2 linked regions of the Alligator mississippiensis genome follow. The protein of the gene in region 2 purifies or fractionates together with the protein of the main gene of each other region. This does not show direct contact. Links are inferred from orthologs where the notes say so. Each region holds a gene or a part of one and is shown on either strand. Other genes may lie near its edges.

What was found. The genes of interacting proteins can lie anywhere in the genome.
Region 1: the proteins of INAVA (region 2) and SGF29 purify together in Homo sapiens (co-immunoprecipitation; 3 studies listed by BioGRID and IntAct, counting the BioPlex papers as one, with this or other methods). This does not show direct contact. The link is inferred for Alligator mississippiensis from reciprocal best matches to the Homo sapiens genes INAVA and SGF29.

Annotation. Positions count from the first base shown.
Region 1 is NC_081830.1:820,482-827,668, reverse strand, and holds the start of SGF29 (SAGA-associated factor 29), read right to left. Parts: upstream 3,085-7,187; 5' UTR 3,072-3,084; coding exon 2,826-3,071; intron 2,339-2,825; coding exon 2,180-2,338; intron 1,937-2,179; coding exon 1,861-1,936; intron 1,579-1,860; coding exon 1,506-1,578; intron 1,409-1,505; coding exon 1,344-1,408; intron 834-1,343; coding exon 704-833; intron 614-703; coding exon 467-613; intron 1-466. Other genes in the region: nuclear protein 1, read left to right, coding at 3,876-3,978, 4,293-4,432; perforin-1, read right to left, coding at 6,561-7,187. UniProt on the Homo sapiens protein: Chromatin reader component of some histone acetyltransferase (HAT) SAGA-type complexes like the TFTC-HAT, ATAC or STAGA complexes.
Region 2 is NC_081837.1:33,172,112-33,179,028, reverse strand, and holds the start of INAVA (innate immunity activator protein), read left to right. Parts: upstream 1-3,823; 5' UTR 3,824-4,002; intron 4,003-6,917. UniProt on the Homo sapiens protein: Expressed in peripheral macrophages and intestinal myeloid-derived cells, is required for optimal PRR (pattern recognition receptor)-induced signaling, cytokine secretion, and bacterial clearance.

The DNA of each region.
Region 1 (7,187 bases), on a different chromosome or scaffold from region 2:
CACCAGATAATCACCATCTTGGCTGGCTAGTGGGCCCGAGGTCATCGGGGGACCACAGAATTGCCCTCCTGGATGGCTAGAGGGGCCCCCGGGGGAGGAGGGGGGGTCCAGCACCATAGAGTCACCATTTTGCCCAGCCAGAGGAACCCCCTAGTGAGGTAATAGAGATGCCGTTCCCTCTTGGCTGGCTAGAGTGGCCCCTAGGACACCCAGTATCATAGTGTCATCCCTCCCCCCGCCCCACCCCCCATGGCTGCCTAGAGTGACTATCTTGGAGGAGCCATCACCCTGGCAGCCATATTAGAAGTCTTCCAATCCGTCCTCCTTCACCCTGGTGCCCATATTGGATGGGCCCTGGACCTGGCAACCATATTGGAAGCCCTCCAACCCCCCTCCCTCGCCATCCTGGCAGCCAGGCTGGCAAGTCCCACCCCATGGTGGACATCTTGGACTCCCCTCCACTCACTTGTTGGTGGCGTGGCTGTAACTAACAACCTCTGCCAGGATCCACTGCTCATCCCCGTCCACAGCTTTGACCCGGGCGGCCACCTTGTCCCCGGGCTTGGCTACGTAGTCACTGGCAGCTGGGATGGCGCCGCACAAAGGTGGGGGCCTGCAAGCAGGGGGCAGTTAGGGGTGTGGGGGAGGGCTATGAACCCCGCCCCCCAGGGCAGGGGGAAGCAGCAAGAGGTGGGGGGCTCACTTCTCGCCGGGCTTTCCAATCCAGAGAGGCAGCGTCATGGCCGATTGCTGGAGGAGGGTCATGAGGACCCCCCGGCGCATGGTCTTACGTGGCGGCTCCGAGTCGTTGTAGAGTCCCGCGATCTTCGCCGCTGTTGTGGGGAGGGCAAAAGAAAAGAGTGAGGTTTCTGGGTCCTCCCCGTCCCTGGATATCCACGTTGCACAGGACTGTGGGAAACAGGGCCGGTGGAGAGACCTATGTACCAGGGGCTTCTGGGAGACCCCCACAATATCCCCAGGGGTTTCTGGGAGGTCTGTGCCCAGCCACCCCGCATCCCCTGTCCCTCCCCAAAGAATTTTTGGATATCCCAGGCCCTCTCCCACCCTGGAGACCCCAAGACCTCAAGGGATTCTGGCAGTTCCCCCAGAGACCCCTACAGCTGAGGTCCCAGGGGATGCTGGGAAGTCTGTGTCCCCTTGTCAGACCCCAGGGGATTCTGGGAGGTATCAGGTCCCAAGGGATACTGGGAGTTCCAGGCTTCTATACCCTCCAGAGACCCCCACTAGCCCCGGGGGAGAATGCCCCTGTCCAACCACTTCTTGTCAGGCCCCAGGGGATTCTGGGAGTCCCGGGGGAGAGGAGGGGATTAGGTATTGCTTACCAATGCGTCTCTCCTCCAGCAAGGACTTGATCTCGGCGATCTTGTCCAGTGCCTTGCGCAGGATGCTGTGTGGGAGGGGGGGCAGAAAGGGGGGACATTAGTGACCGCTAGTGGGGGGGGGGGGATTTGGGGTGGGGGTGGGGCAAGGGGAGGCAAACTTACTTGCACTCAGCCTCTGCATCCGCCTTGGCCGTGGTGTAAAGCCCCCGCAGCTTGGTGCGGTAATAGGGGGAGACTGCAGGGGGGTGGGGGGGTGCAGTTCAGAACCCAGGCGTCCGGCCCCCCCCAATACTTGATTGAACCCGGGGGCCCGCCCCCCCACCTCGTGTTACGCTGAACCCTGGCGTACAGGCTCCGTCTCCCCCCCGCAATCGGAGATCAAACCCAGGCGTCCAGGGCCAGACCCATCGAAGGAGAAACCCAGGGGTCCGGGCTGGGCTGTAACCCCTCCCCCACCCCCACCCCCACCCCTGGGGGATTCTGGGAAGCACCCAGGCGTGCGGGGCGGGGGTCTCACTCTTATTCTCCGTTTGCATCCGCTCGTGGGTCTTCTGGATGTTCACCAGGTTGTGCTCGCTGCGGGAACGCTCCTCCTGCGGGGGGCGGGGTTACCAGGGCTCCGCCCCCTCGCCAGCAGCCTCTGGGGTAGCCCGTAGGAGGCGGGGATAGGACAACCCTCCCCACACACCTCCCCCTGCCCCCCAGCTCCTTCCTCTGCCTGCCCCAGGGAGGCGGCCGCACACCGCCTGCCCCAGAGGATGCTGGGAAAGGCCCCCCCCACCCCAGAGGATGCTGGGAAAGGCCCCCGCCACCCCAGAGGATGCTGGGAAGCTCACCTGGGTCTGCTTGATGAGCTGGTGCAGCTCCCCCAGCAGCTCCGCGATGCGCGAGTCGGCCGACACCAGCGCCATGGCCGCCGGGAGAGGGCGGGGCCTGCGGGGCGCCCGGCGGGAAGGTTTAGTCGGGGGGGCGGCTAGCTGGATTCCCACAATGCCCTGCGGTGGGGAGGAGAGTTGCTCACGCTCCCACAATGCCTTGGGGCTGGAGGGGGGACTTATGGCCTATCTCCCACAATGCCCTGGGGCTGCGGTGCCAGTAAGCTACTCTCCCACAATGCCTTGGGGCTGAGGGGGAGTCAAGGACATGCTCCCACAGTGGGGGGTTTGCTACTTTCCCACAATGCCCTGGGACAGGGAGCAGTTGGCCACACTCCCACAATGCCATGTGGCCAGAGGGCAGGTTGTCCATACTCCCACAATGCCTCGGGACTGGTGGGGTTGGCAACACTCCCACAATGCCCTGGGACCGGGGGGAGGGGGGGTCCAAGAAGCCGAATACGCATGCGCACTCCCATCACCCGCGTCCCCTCCAAGCTGCGCATGCGCATTCACCTGCTTACCATGACACCCCCTTCGCGCCCCCCCACCGCCCATTTCCGGCCCCGCTTGCCTGCCCCCCGGTCGCCCCCAGGCCCAGACGCACCGCGGGGCCCTCCGGGCGGGACCGGACCTGAAGCGGCGGCGAAGGAGCGGCTCCACGTTCCCAGGGCGGCAGCGGGAGGCGGGGCCCAACTACGCTTGCGCGGAGCCAAGCTCGCGAGGCAGCCTGGGACTTGCAGTCCCTGAGGAAGCGCTTTGAGGTTGCGCATGCGCACAGTGCCACCAGGGCCCACGCAGAACGACAGCGCATGCGCATCGCGCATGTTGCCCTTCCAGTCTCTTGCGCCATAGAGCCGGGGTCTCCCCGGGGCTCCTGGGAGTTGTAGTTTTCAGCTCCCCGGCCCCTCCCGCTCCTGAAACCCCGACCCCCAGCGCTCAGCAACAGCGGTGCCCCTCACTCCCGACCTGCAGCCGCTCCCCCACGTGCAGCATCGCCCATCCTGCGCCGACACCCTGCCCAAAATAGCCCCCCCTTCCCCGTACCCCTGTAATATGGGGGGTCCCCCCTTTCCTGGGGGGTGGGAGCAGGGGATTCTGGGAGCCCGGCCCCCTGGGTTGTCTGATGGGGGAGCCCCACAAACTCTTGTGGGCAGAAGGGGCTGCGGGGGGGGCACCCAGTTAATGATTCCCAGCTCAGGCGCCTCTCTATCAGGCCTGGCAATAAGGGGGGGGGAGGGCTGGGGGGGGGGGAGGGCTCAGCCGAGTCCTGACTCAGTCTCCCCTCGTGACCCGAGGTTGTTTTTCTCCCCATGTGTACCTTGGCCGGGGGCCGGCGGGGCGGGCGGGAGTGGGGGCACCGTAGGGGGGTGCGGGCTCGGCGTGGGGGCACCGCCGTGGGGAGCGATGCAGGTCAGCAGTGGGGCCCCCCTGTGCCTTTAAGGTTCTGGGGGTGGGGCAGGAACGGGGGGGGGGGGGGGTGCCTGGGGGGGAGACGGATGATGCAATGGGGGCGGGGCCTGGTCTATAAAGGGGGGGCAGGACCCAGCGAGACACAAACAGCCCCAGGAGACAGCCGGACGCAGCCCCTGCTGCACAGACCGACGCCCCCAGGGACCCCCAGCTCGAGGACCCCCGACCCCGCCTGCAATAGGCCATGGCCTCGGCCCGGCTTGATGCCGCCCGCCTGGTCCCGACGCCCTTTGAAGGCCGGTACCTGGACGCCTGCGACTACTACAGCCTGACCGAGCGCTACGCGGGTGAGGACCCAGCGTCCGGGCCCGGCCCCCCCTGCCCCGATCCCTGGCTATAAAGTCTGGCTATAAAGTCCGAAGTCACTAGATGGCAGCCAGGCTCCAGGCGTCCGGCTCCCGCCCCTCTGCTCCGCGCTCCCCTCCCAGAGCACCCAGGAGTGGGGGCACCGCTGTGGGGGGCTGCGGGGCGGGAGCGGGGGCACTGCTGTGGGGGGCTGCGGGGCGGGGGCGGGGGCACTGGTGCAGGGAGCTGCGGGTGGGAGTGGGGGACACCCAACTCTGACCCCTCCCCATTTGTGTCCCCCCCCCCGCCATCCCAGTGCCTGATGGGAGAGGCCGGAAAGGGCGTACCAAGCGGGAGGCAGCAGCCCACACGAACCGGCCCAGCCCAGCTGGGCACGAGCGCAAGTTGGCCACCAAGCTGCAGCGATCGGAGCGGCGCCGGGCGGGCAAGGAGTGAGCGGAGCCCTGCCCACAGGTGAGTCAAGATGGCAGCTGCCCGCAGGAACGAGCGGGGCGTGAACCGAGATGGCCGCCATGGGGGATGGGAATGGGGGAGTGAGCAGGAGTCAAGATGGCCGCCACGGGGCCTGGCATTAGGGATGGGAGCGGGAACCAAGATGGCAGCTCTTGGGCACGGCAGTGGGGAAAGAGTTGGGAACCAAGATGGCCGCCACTGGGTGCAGAAATAGTGAGGTGAGCAGCAAGCAAGATGGCTGCCACAAGGCAAGGCTGTGGGAAGCGGGCCAGGCATCAGGATGGCTGCCATTAGGCATGGAAACAGGTGGGAGTAGAAGTCAATATGTCCGCCTTTGGGCATGGCAGGGGGCTGGAAGTAATAACCAAGATGGCCACCATTAGGCATGGGCCAGGAGTCAAGATGGCCACCATAAGGCATGGCAGTGGAGCTAAGATGGCCATCATCACCCACAGCAATGGGGAACAGCACTGGGGTGGGCACAAAATGGTGGTAATGGGGCCCAAGATGGCCGCCAGCCACAACGCCAGGCTGGATGGGGGATGGCAGGGAACAAGATGGCCGACACTAACCCCACCCCCCTCGTTAGCTCAGAGCCTCGTTAGCGAACCCGGTTCCGGACCCCATGGCACACGGCGACACGGAGACGGACACACGGACAGACACACCAAGATGGCTGCCACCCATTGGGCCTGGTGGCCATGTTCTCGCTATTGCCACGGTGACCTCAGTGACCCTGTTGTCAAGGCGACCCTTTTGACCCCCCCATGGCAACCAGGTTTAACCTGTTGCCAGGGTGGCCATTTTGAACCCCCCCTTTGGAAGTCCTAGACACCCCATTACCAAGATGGCCATTTTGAATTTTCCCTGCAGCCACCATCTTGGGCCCATTGCCAGGGTGGCCATATTGAACCCCTCTGATGGCAACCATGTTCATCCCATTGCCATGGCAACCGTGGTGACCCTGTTGCTAAGGTAGCCATTTTGACCACCCCCTATAGGAACCAAACTCCACCCCTTTCTTGGGCAACCCCATTGACCCTCCTCATGGTAGTCATATTGATACCATCACCATGGTGACCATGTTGACACTCCCCCCCCCGCTGCCCAGGCAGCCATACTGAACCATCCCCATTTCAGCCATGTTCACTTTGTTGCCAAGACGGCCATATTGGCCCCCTGCCCATAGCAACCATGCTCAACACCTTTGTCTGGGCAGCCATTTTGAGCCCTTGGCAAAGGCGGCCTATTGAAACCATTGCCAAGACAACCAGTGGAACCCCTTGCAAAAGGCAGCCACATTGAAACCATCACCAAGGCAACCAGTGGAAACTCTTGGCCTAGGCGGCCATATTGAAACCATCGCCAGGACAACCAGTGAACCCACCCCGACTCGGCAGCCATGTTGGATACAGGGGAACCTCAGGTCCCAGGGGGCTCAGAGTGGTCAAAAAGGGGTGAGGAAAGGCACGGGGTGGGTAGCTCTGTAGCTGCCCCTCCTCTGGCCCCGGCACTGTTGCGGGGTGAAAAATAGTCAATAAAATGGGGGGGAGTTCTGAAGAAAATTCATGTTTCTTGAGACTTCTTCAGGAATGAGAGGGGCCAAGGGATTGTGGGTAGTGGAGGGGTTAGCCCCCCAATTGAGGGCTACACACACACACATTTGGCAGGAGGTCAACTCAAATGCCTTTATTCCCCCCACAGGCCGGATGCCCGTTGTCTCATTACTGCTAACGAACCTTGGAAGTCACCCTAATTAGACTCCCTCCCTGCCAGGGATGTGTGTACAGGGTTTGAAGGGGAAGGCCCTGAGGGAAGGAGATCGGTGGGTTGGGTTGGGCTAGGGGTGGGGTCATTTGTTAGAGTTGGGTTGGTGTCATTGGTTGGCTGGGTTAGGTTTGGTGTCCTTGCTTAGGATTGGGTTGCCATTATTGGTAGGTGGAGCTATGGATGGGATCATTTGTTGGGATCACCTAAGGGTCATTGATGGGTCAGGTGGACCCATCCCATCACCCCCTCTCTCCTCCTGGCCCCTCCCCGCTTTGTGGCCCCAGTCCATGTGGTTATGGGGCTGAAGGACCTGAAGAGGGGAAGCCCCCTGGGGGGGCAGTTATATCTCAGGGGGCCGGGGGGCATAGTCCTGGCACCGGGGCCCACCCAGGCCAGGCCCACACTGGAGGCGGTACAGGAAGTGGAGCTGCCCATAGGCCAAATAGCAGGTGCGAGACTGGGGGGCGCCAGCCACAGGCATCTCCCCACAGGCCCCCAGTAGGTCATCATCATGCCCGTTGTCCTCGTCCCACACCTCCAACCTCAGCCCGTCTTCACCGTCTACCCGCCCCACCCCAAAATCCAGTCCCACCCCCCATGCCGGGCTGTCATTGTTCCACACTGTGTCTGCCCGCAGCTCCTGCCCCCCATAAAACACCTTGACATAGGCATCTGACTGGGTGCCGAGGTCCCCGTAGAGCCTACTGGCATTGACCACCGTCACCATGAGCTGGCCCAGGCTTCGCTCCCGGGAGCAGCAGGATGCATCCCACCCCACCTCCTCTGAGCACAGGCAGGTGCATGGGTCCCACGGGCTTCGTTGGGTGCCCAGGGGGCAGGGATGGGTGCAGTTCCTCCACAGCGCCCCATCAAGGACATACTGGCTCACAGCCCTCTGGAGAGAGGCCCGCCGTGGGTCACCCTTCCTTGCCAAGGCATGGATGGGCATCAGAGTGTAAGAGATGAG
Region 2 (6,917 bases):
CCCCTTCCCATCACAGTGCTCTTAGCACCATGTCTTTCTTTCTACTTGCTGCCCAGACAAGCCCAAGCTGCCCTTATAGTCTGGATGGGACTGGCTGCAGGCTGCCCGAGTGCCCTCATCTGTTGCATGATCCTTGGCTACCTGTTTTCTCGGCTTGACTCCCGCCTGAGTCCTTGCCCAGCCTGAATCCCCTGCCTCATTCCTGCCTGAATCCTAGCCCATGTCCTCTGCTTTGATTCTCGGTTTCTGGAGTCCTAGTTTGTGACGCTCGTAGCATCTTGCTCCAATCCCATGCATCCAGGTTGTGTCTGTGACATGCCAGACCACATACACATCATACAGAGCCCCAGGCCTCTGTGGGGCAGCCTACAGAGGAGGATGTGGAGCCCCTGCACAGCTCCCCAACCATTCCAGTTGATGGCTATTATGTGCAAGGGGTGGTGGCTCATCCTCAAAAGGTGTGCTGGAGAGAAGAGTGGAAAAGACCTAATCTATGGTGTGGTGGTTAAAGCACTATGTGGAGAAATTGGTGATATAGGCTTAAAACCCTTCTTTGGTGACTGAATTTTAACTTGCATCACTGTGACTTGACTTGTTAGGTGATGGGGACCAGAAACCCAGGTCTTTGGCGTCCTAGGTAAGTGCTTTAGCTGTTCAGCTCTTGGGGCTAAAACTTGGAATGGGTTTTCTCCTTTCCCAAACTTCATTGCATGATAACATACCTAGTGTGTGTACATGGCCTACTCAGTCTACACATTGATGCATGCATGTCTGTTATACGCAGTAACAGGCCAAAAAAATGCAGCTAGGAAATGGCCATGTAGGTGCACAGTGACAAACAGAATTCCATCCATCCCATTTAAATGTTTGTAAGTGACCTTAGCACTGGGGCTTGAAGCATCCTCATCAAATTTGCAGAACTGGATCAGCTTGTGGAACAAGATGGCGAGTTCGGGCACACAAATCGGGGTGTGTGATGTGGAAGTATGTAACTGAGGTCCCCAGGTTGAGCTCTGCAGTGAGAAAAACATGGTAACTCCAGAGCTTTGACTGGCTTTTACTAGATGCTAGTTGGGGACATGCATGACAATTAAAACAGAAGTGAACAGATAGAAAAGACATGCATTAAACTGTGTTGTGTTTAAATCTACCTGGAGCAGTTCAAAAGGGTGCCTGGAAAATCAAGTACTATTTTGAACTGGTGCACTGTGAACTGATTCAGTGGTTGTGTGTGGACTCACCTTTCTATGACACTAACCTGGCCAGTCTTCCAGGAATCCCAAACTGCATCACTTCTCGCCTCTCCCACACACTACTGCAACCGACTGCTCTGGTATCGCTTCTCAGCCTTTTGGCTAAGATCAAGTGTAGTCCCATCAACTGCACCATCCTGGGCTGAGAGCCAGCTGTTGCCCAGACATCCTTGCAGCTGAGGAGGAGAACAAATGCATCGTGATGGCTGATGTTGCTATCCCATTGGAGAACCAGCAGCAAGCCTTTGTCGAAGCCTGCAAGTGGAATTTGACAGTACAAGCTGCTGGCAGGTGCTGTGAGTACGGGGCTGCAAAGTGATGGTGCAGGCACTGATTGTTGGGGTGCTTGGAGCATGGGACCCCCGGCAACAAAAGCATCTTGTGTGCCAAGCTGATGAGACAGCTCATGGTGTCTGACACCATCAGATGTTCCAGGGACATCAACATGGAGTGCATTGCGAGTGAGTGCCAGTATGTGGACACCAGCAAACTACTGGCTGGAAGCAACTTGGAGGAAGCAGTCTGATTTTTTTTTCCCCCCCTTCCTCCCCCCACCAACAGATCATGAGCTAAAACTGCTTCCCACCTGGACTGTCCATCACCTCTGCAATTATACTCCACGTGCTGTTGTTTGTACCTGCATATGTATCCCTCAGAGCCCACAACTCTACAATAATGCAGCTTCCTTGCACAGGGCCTTTGTATCTTATTCCCTCGGTAAGCATCATGCTTTTACCTCCCTTATCCCTCACCCTAACTCATCCCCTACCTAAGTAGGCTACGTTCTCTCTGCATAACTTAGTTGCATCCTCCACGTACCCACCCACCCAGTACTATGCAACTACCCTTCCCTGGGTCTTCTGGATCTCTTTCCACCTCTTCAACTCTGTAACTTCCTACTAAGATATACTAATAAACTAAATAAAGTATGTAGCCAGAGTCCTACTGCCCCCTTTTGCTGGCAATTATTTTTTTTAATCAATGAGCTCCCTTGCATATTCTTTGCTCAATAAAAGTTGTTTTTCCAACAGCCAGCTCTGCCCTGATTCCCTACTTGACTTCAGCCCAACCTCATGCCTCCCACCTGCCCGGTCCCAGGCAGTACCTGCCCCCCCTCCCCACAACCAAAAAGCGAGAGTCCAAGCCCTCCCCTCCTGTCTCCAAGTCAGGTGAGCACATTGCAAATGACTGCAGCCTACAGGCTATTGAAGTTTATTGAGCTTTGACAAGTGACAAGGCTAGGGAATGAACTGAGAATGTAAACCCCAAATCTGGGCTTCGACTAAACTAAAGGACAGCAATTGGGTTAGGGAAGGCCAGTGGGTGGCTGCGCGGGGATGCTGAGGAGTGGATGCGTTTATTGTAACAGGTACGTGGTTTCTTAATGTGGTTTAAGGTGTGTGATGGAAAGTTTTATGCTAGATGGTGGGGGGGTATACTATAAAAGATTACTAAGCTTACATTCAGGAAGCAAATGAAAGCAGGAAAGGGATAAGGCCCTCAGCCACACCTGGGACTCCCAAAGCATTTGTCCACTGCAAGGCATGCTGGGCTGGGTGCTCACTCCCACCCTGGTGTGCAAGCCACAACAGTTCACACCATTGTGAATGAATTCCCCCCGGAAGGATTCGATTGCAATGTGTGTCCACATCCTCAGAATCACACTGATTCCCGGCACTGGGGTAGGAAGGGTTTTTGCTCCCAGACCGACTGGCCCAGGCACTGGGGGTTTGCTGTCCTCTGCGGTGTAGGGAGCAGAGTCCCTTTCATAGGAGAGTCTTCATAGACATTAGGGCTGGAAGGGACCTTGTAAGATTATCGGGTCCAGCCCCCTGCCCAAGAAGCAGGAAGTCAACTAGGGGAAAACATCTCAGCAAGATAAAAGTCCAAATGTTTCATAAAGGTGTCCAGAGTAGGTGTTTGCACCACCTCTCAAAGTGGTAATTTAGAAATACAGGGGACTAGATGCAGTGACAGAGGCAGCCCCTTCCACTCGTGTTTCTGTTAAGTTCGGGTTTTAACCCAGCTCCCTGTGTATTGAATTTTCTCAGTTACTAAGTAGCACACAGTTAAGCTGGCTTTCCAAATAACTCATTAATTTGCCATTGTGTGCGCTGACTAGCTGGCAGATTCCAGCTAATCCATCACTAATAGAACATTAATAGCCAGCTGCCTCGCACACTTTCCTTGTGGGCTGATCTGAAAAAAACTCTCTGATTCCTTTCTTTCCAGACTTTCACCCTGGGTCTCTCAGAAGAAAAGCAACCACAGGGGAGGCATTGTGCTGCTTGGAAGAAGTACTTCCAAGACTCAGTGAATTACCCTTTCCTAAGACTAGGGCTGGTGGGATCTGAGCAGGAAATGGGGACCAGGAGCAGGATCATTATTCTCTTCTCTGCTAAAAAAACAATACAGTGTTCAGAGTAACAACAAAAATCCAAGGCATGATACTCCACCCTGGCATGCCTCCTCCTTCTCAGGGCTACTTTAGTGAGGCTTGAACAAGTTTTAAAGCATACTAACCAGCATCTCCCCCTCTTTTCCTAAGGGATTGGTATGCCCCAGGGACAGATGTCTTTAGATCTTCAACCTTTGGGATGTAGCTAATGCCTAGTTAAATTAAATAAGGGGGGGAGCTTTGCAAAAGCAGCAGTCTGGGTGATGGAAGCAGTGTAAATGAAATTCCTTGGGAGTGATTAAAAAAAAAAAAAGGAAGGAAACAGCTACAGGACTAGTTGCTTTTTAGCAGGTAAGTGAAAACAAACTTGAACTCTGTGAAATCTGATCTGCCTAAAAGTATCCTAGCAATTTGAACAGGAGACATGTGTGCAGGGTGATCCCCTATAATTAAAGATGTTGCTGTTTGAACATGTTGCACTCAGCAGAAATTTGCAGTCGCCAAAAACAGTTGTTTGTTTGTTGGTTTTAGGTAGTAGTTTTCTCCTGATGGTTTCCCTCCTCAGATTTGTGGAAATGTTTGTTGCTTTGTAAAATATAATTTTGAAATTGTGTTCATCTAGCACCAGGGCTGAAAAAAGGAGGGAGAGGCAGATGAGACAAAGACAATGGGCCAGATTCTCAGCTGGTGGAAATGAATCAAAGTTCACTAGTTTGAATGGGGCTACTCCAATTTACACTTTATGAATTCAGGCCAGATGGCTGGAAATTTTATATTGGCTACTTGCAAGAAGACATCCAATCAGAAAGAGGATTTTTTAATTTTATTCCTGTAAGATCACTTACATAAGGTGAATAGTTTGTTCTGTGCTGGCGCACGGGACTCCTGGGAAATTATTAGTTCAAGCCAACGTGCTTGTCCTTTGCTCACATTGTAAGAGAGCAAGGATTGGAGGAGTTATGAATGGTGCCAGTCTAATTTCAGTCTTTCAGCTCTGGCTTTTTAATTCAGTGCAGGAATGAAGTGAAGCATTACTCAGCTGTCTCTGCCTGAGAATCGGAAAGGCTCTGAACCTGGTTATTTCTTCTCAATGGACTTGTATAACTTCTTTGTTACATGTTAACCCACAAAACAAGAATCACATGTTTTAAGAATCCCAGGGCCAGGACCCAAGCTGGTGTAAATCAATTTGTTGTGGCTGGTGTTAGTGGAGCTATGCAAATTTACTCCTGTGGAGGATCGTGACTGCAGTAGCATTTGAAAGCGCTGAACAGGATGGAGACCTTATTGTAATAGGCCCGGAACAAGAAAGCAACACAAAATTAGTCCCTCCCTGTTCTTACAAGCAAAGAATTACTAATCATAAGGATGGGCCAGGCCTGCAATATTTTGATTTGAGTTTCAAATTCCAGGAAGGTACATTCTGGTCATTCCCATTGAAGTCAATAGGGAGTAAACTCTATGGTTTTCAGTAGCAACTCTGAATCCACACCAATGTGACTGAGACCCAAATCTGAGTCAGTGAGTGGACAAAAAAAAGTCCAAGTGTGAATTTTGGAATCTGTGTTGGGACTCTGAAATTTTGGGAGTGAAGAGGACTGAAGCTATAGCCAGAGATCTAGGTATTAAAACTGAGATCAAGGCCTCACTGCACTAGGCACTAAACATCCACACAACAATAGACAGTCCCTAACACAAAGAGCTCAAGCTCCAAGAAGACAAGAGTGGGGGTGGAGAAAGGAAATATCACTAGCCGTGTACAACAGGTGGAAAATAGGGTCAAAGAGAAATTAAGGGCAAAATCCTATTTCACTTTACATATCCCAATGGTACTTACCCACATTTGTAAATGCCATTTTGGACATTTGCACACAATTTATAACTACTCCACATGCACGTGGCTATTAAGCATGCTCAGTAAGCTATATGCTGGCTAGGCAGGTAGGTGGATCTATGCAGTCGCTCATGAATGAGTGTAAGTTCCCAAACTTTTGCTGGGTAAAACAACCGGTGTTAGGTGCTGGAGGGAGGGGGGCCCCATGCTTTAGCCCACTGCTGGAGGCACTCACCTGGGTTCTAGACCTACTCATCCAAAGGAGGTTTCATCATCTCTGACTTCCCAGCACAGTGCTCTAATTACCACACCACAGGAAAGTCACTGTCTAGACCTTCTTTTGCAGCTGGACCCCAGAAACAAGAGCACGTGCTTGAGGATGTGTGGCTTAATGAGATGAGCCTAGCGTTAGCCTGAGCCACTGGTTCCAAACAGAGCAGTGCAAAGGCACCTCCTGAGCTGCAGGTTCCCTGAGCCCCTCGGGCTAGCACTGCTCTGTTCCTCCTCCTGGGGTGGAGGCAGGAAATGGAAGCTGGAGAAGGGAGGGGGAGCCCAGGGACCCTGGCAGCAGCAGTAGAAGAAATGAAGGGAGAAGCACCTGGACTGGGAGCCATGAGTTAGCCACTCATGGGCTGGATGTGATCCACAGGCTACCAGTCGGACAGATGTGACCTACAGGTTGGGTGGCTCTGTCTTAGAAAGTAATGGCACAGAGAAGGACTTAGGAATCATAGTAGATAATTGCCTGCATGTGAGTTCTCAGCCCATGCTGCAATTAAAATGGTTAATGCAATCACTGGATGCATAAACGGAGAATATCAAATAGACACAGAAAAGTGATCTTGCCTCTGGACACAGCAATGGCGAGGCAATGACTCATGCAGTGCGTCCAGTGCTGGTATCCACATTTGGAGAAGGATGTGGAATTACTGGAAAGATTTCAAAGGGAAAGGGCAAAAATGATTCAGAGGCTGGAATGCAAGCCCTGTGATATGAGCTTTAAGGCACTCACTTGATGCATCTTACCAGACAAAAGATTGAGAGATGACTTACTTGATCACTGTGTGTAGTGGAAGTTATCTGATACTGGGGGCTTTGCAAAGGGTAACCTGATCCAGTGACTGGAAGCTGAACTTGGGCAAACCCAACTTTGAAATAAGATGCACTTTCCTAGCAGTGAGGGTGTTTAAACATTGCAACTGCTTTCTAGGGGAAGTGGTGGACTCATCATTGCTTAGAGTCTTAAAATGAGATTAGGTGTCTTTCTAAAAGACAAGCTTTGATCCAAATTCTGGGAAAAAAATCTGTGACCTGTGTGTGTTTGGATGCCGGGGGATCAGGCTGGTCCCTTCTGGCCCCGGTGGATGTGAATCTCTGTTCCTGTGTTTGTCCTTTTCTTCCATAGGCTACAGAGAGAACAGAAGGGTTGTTA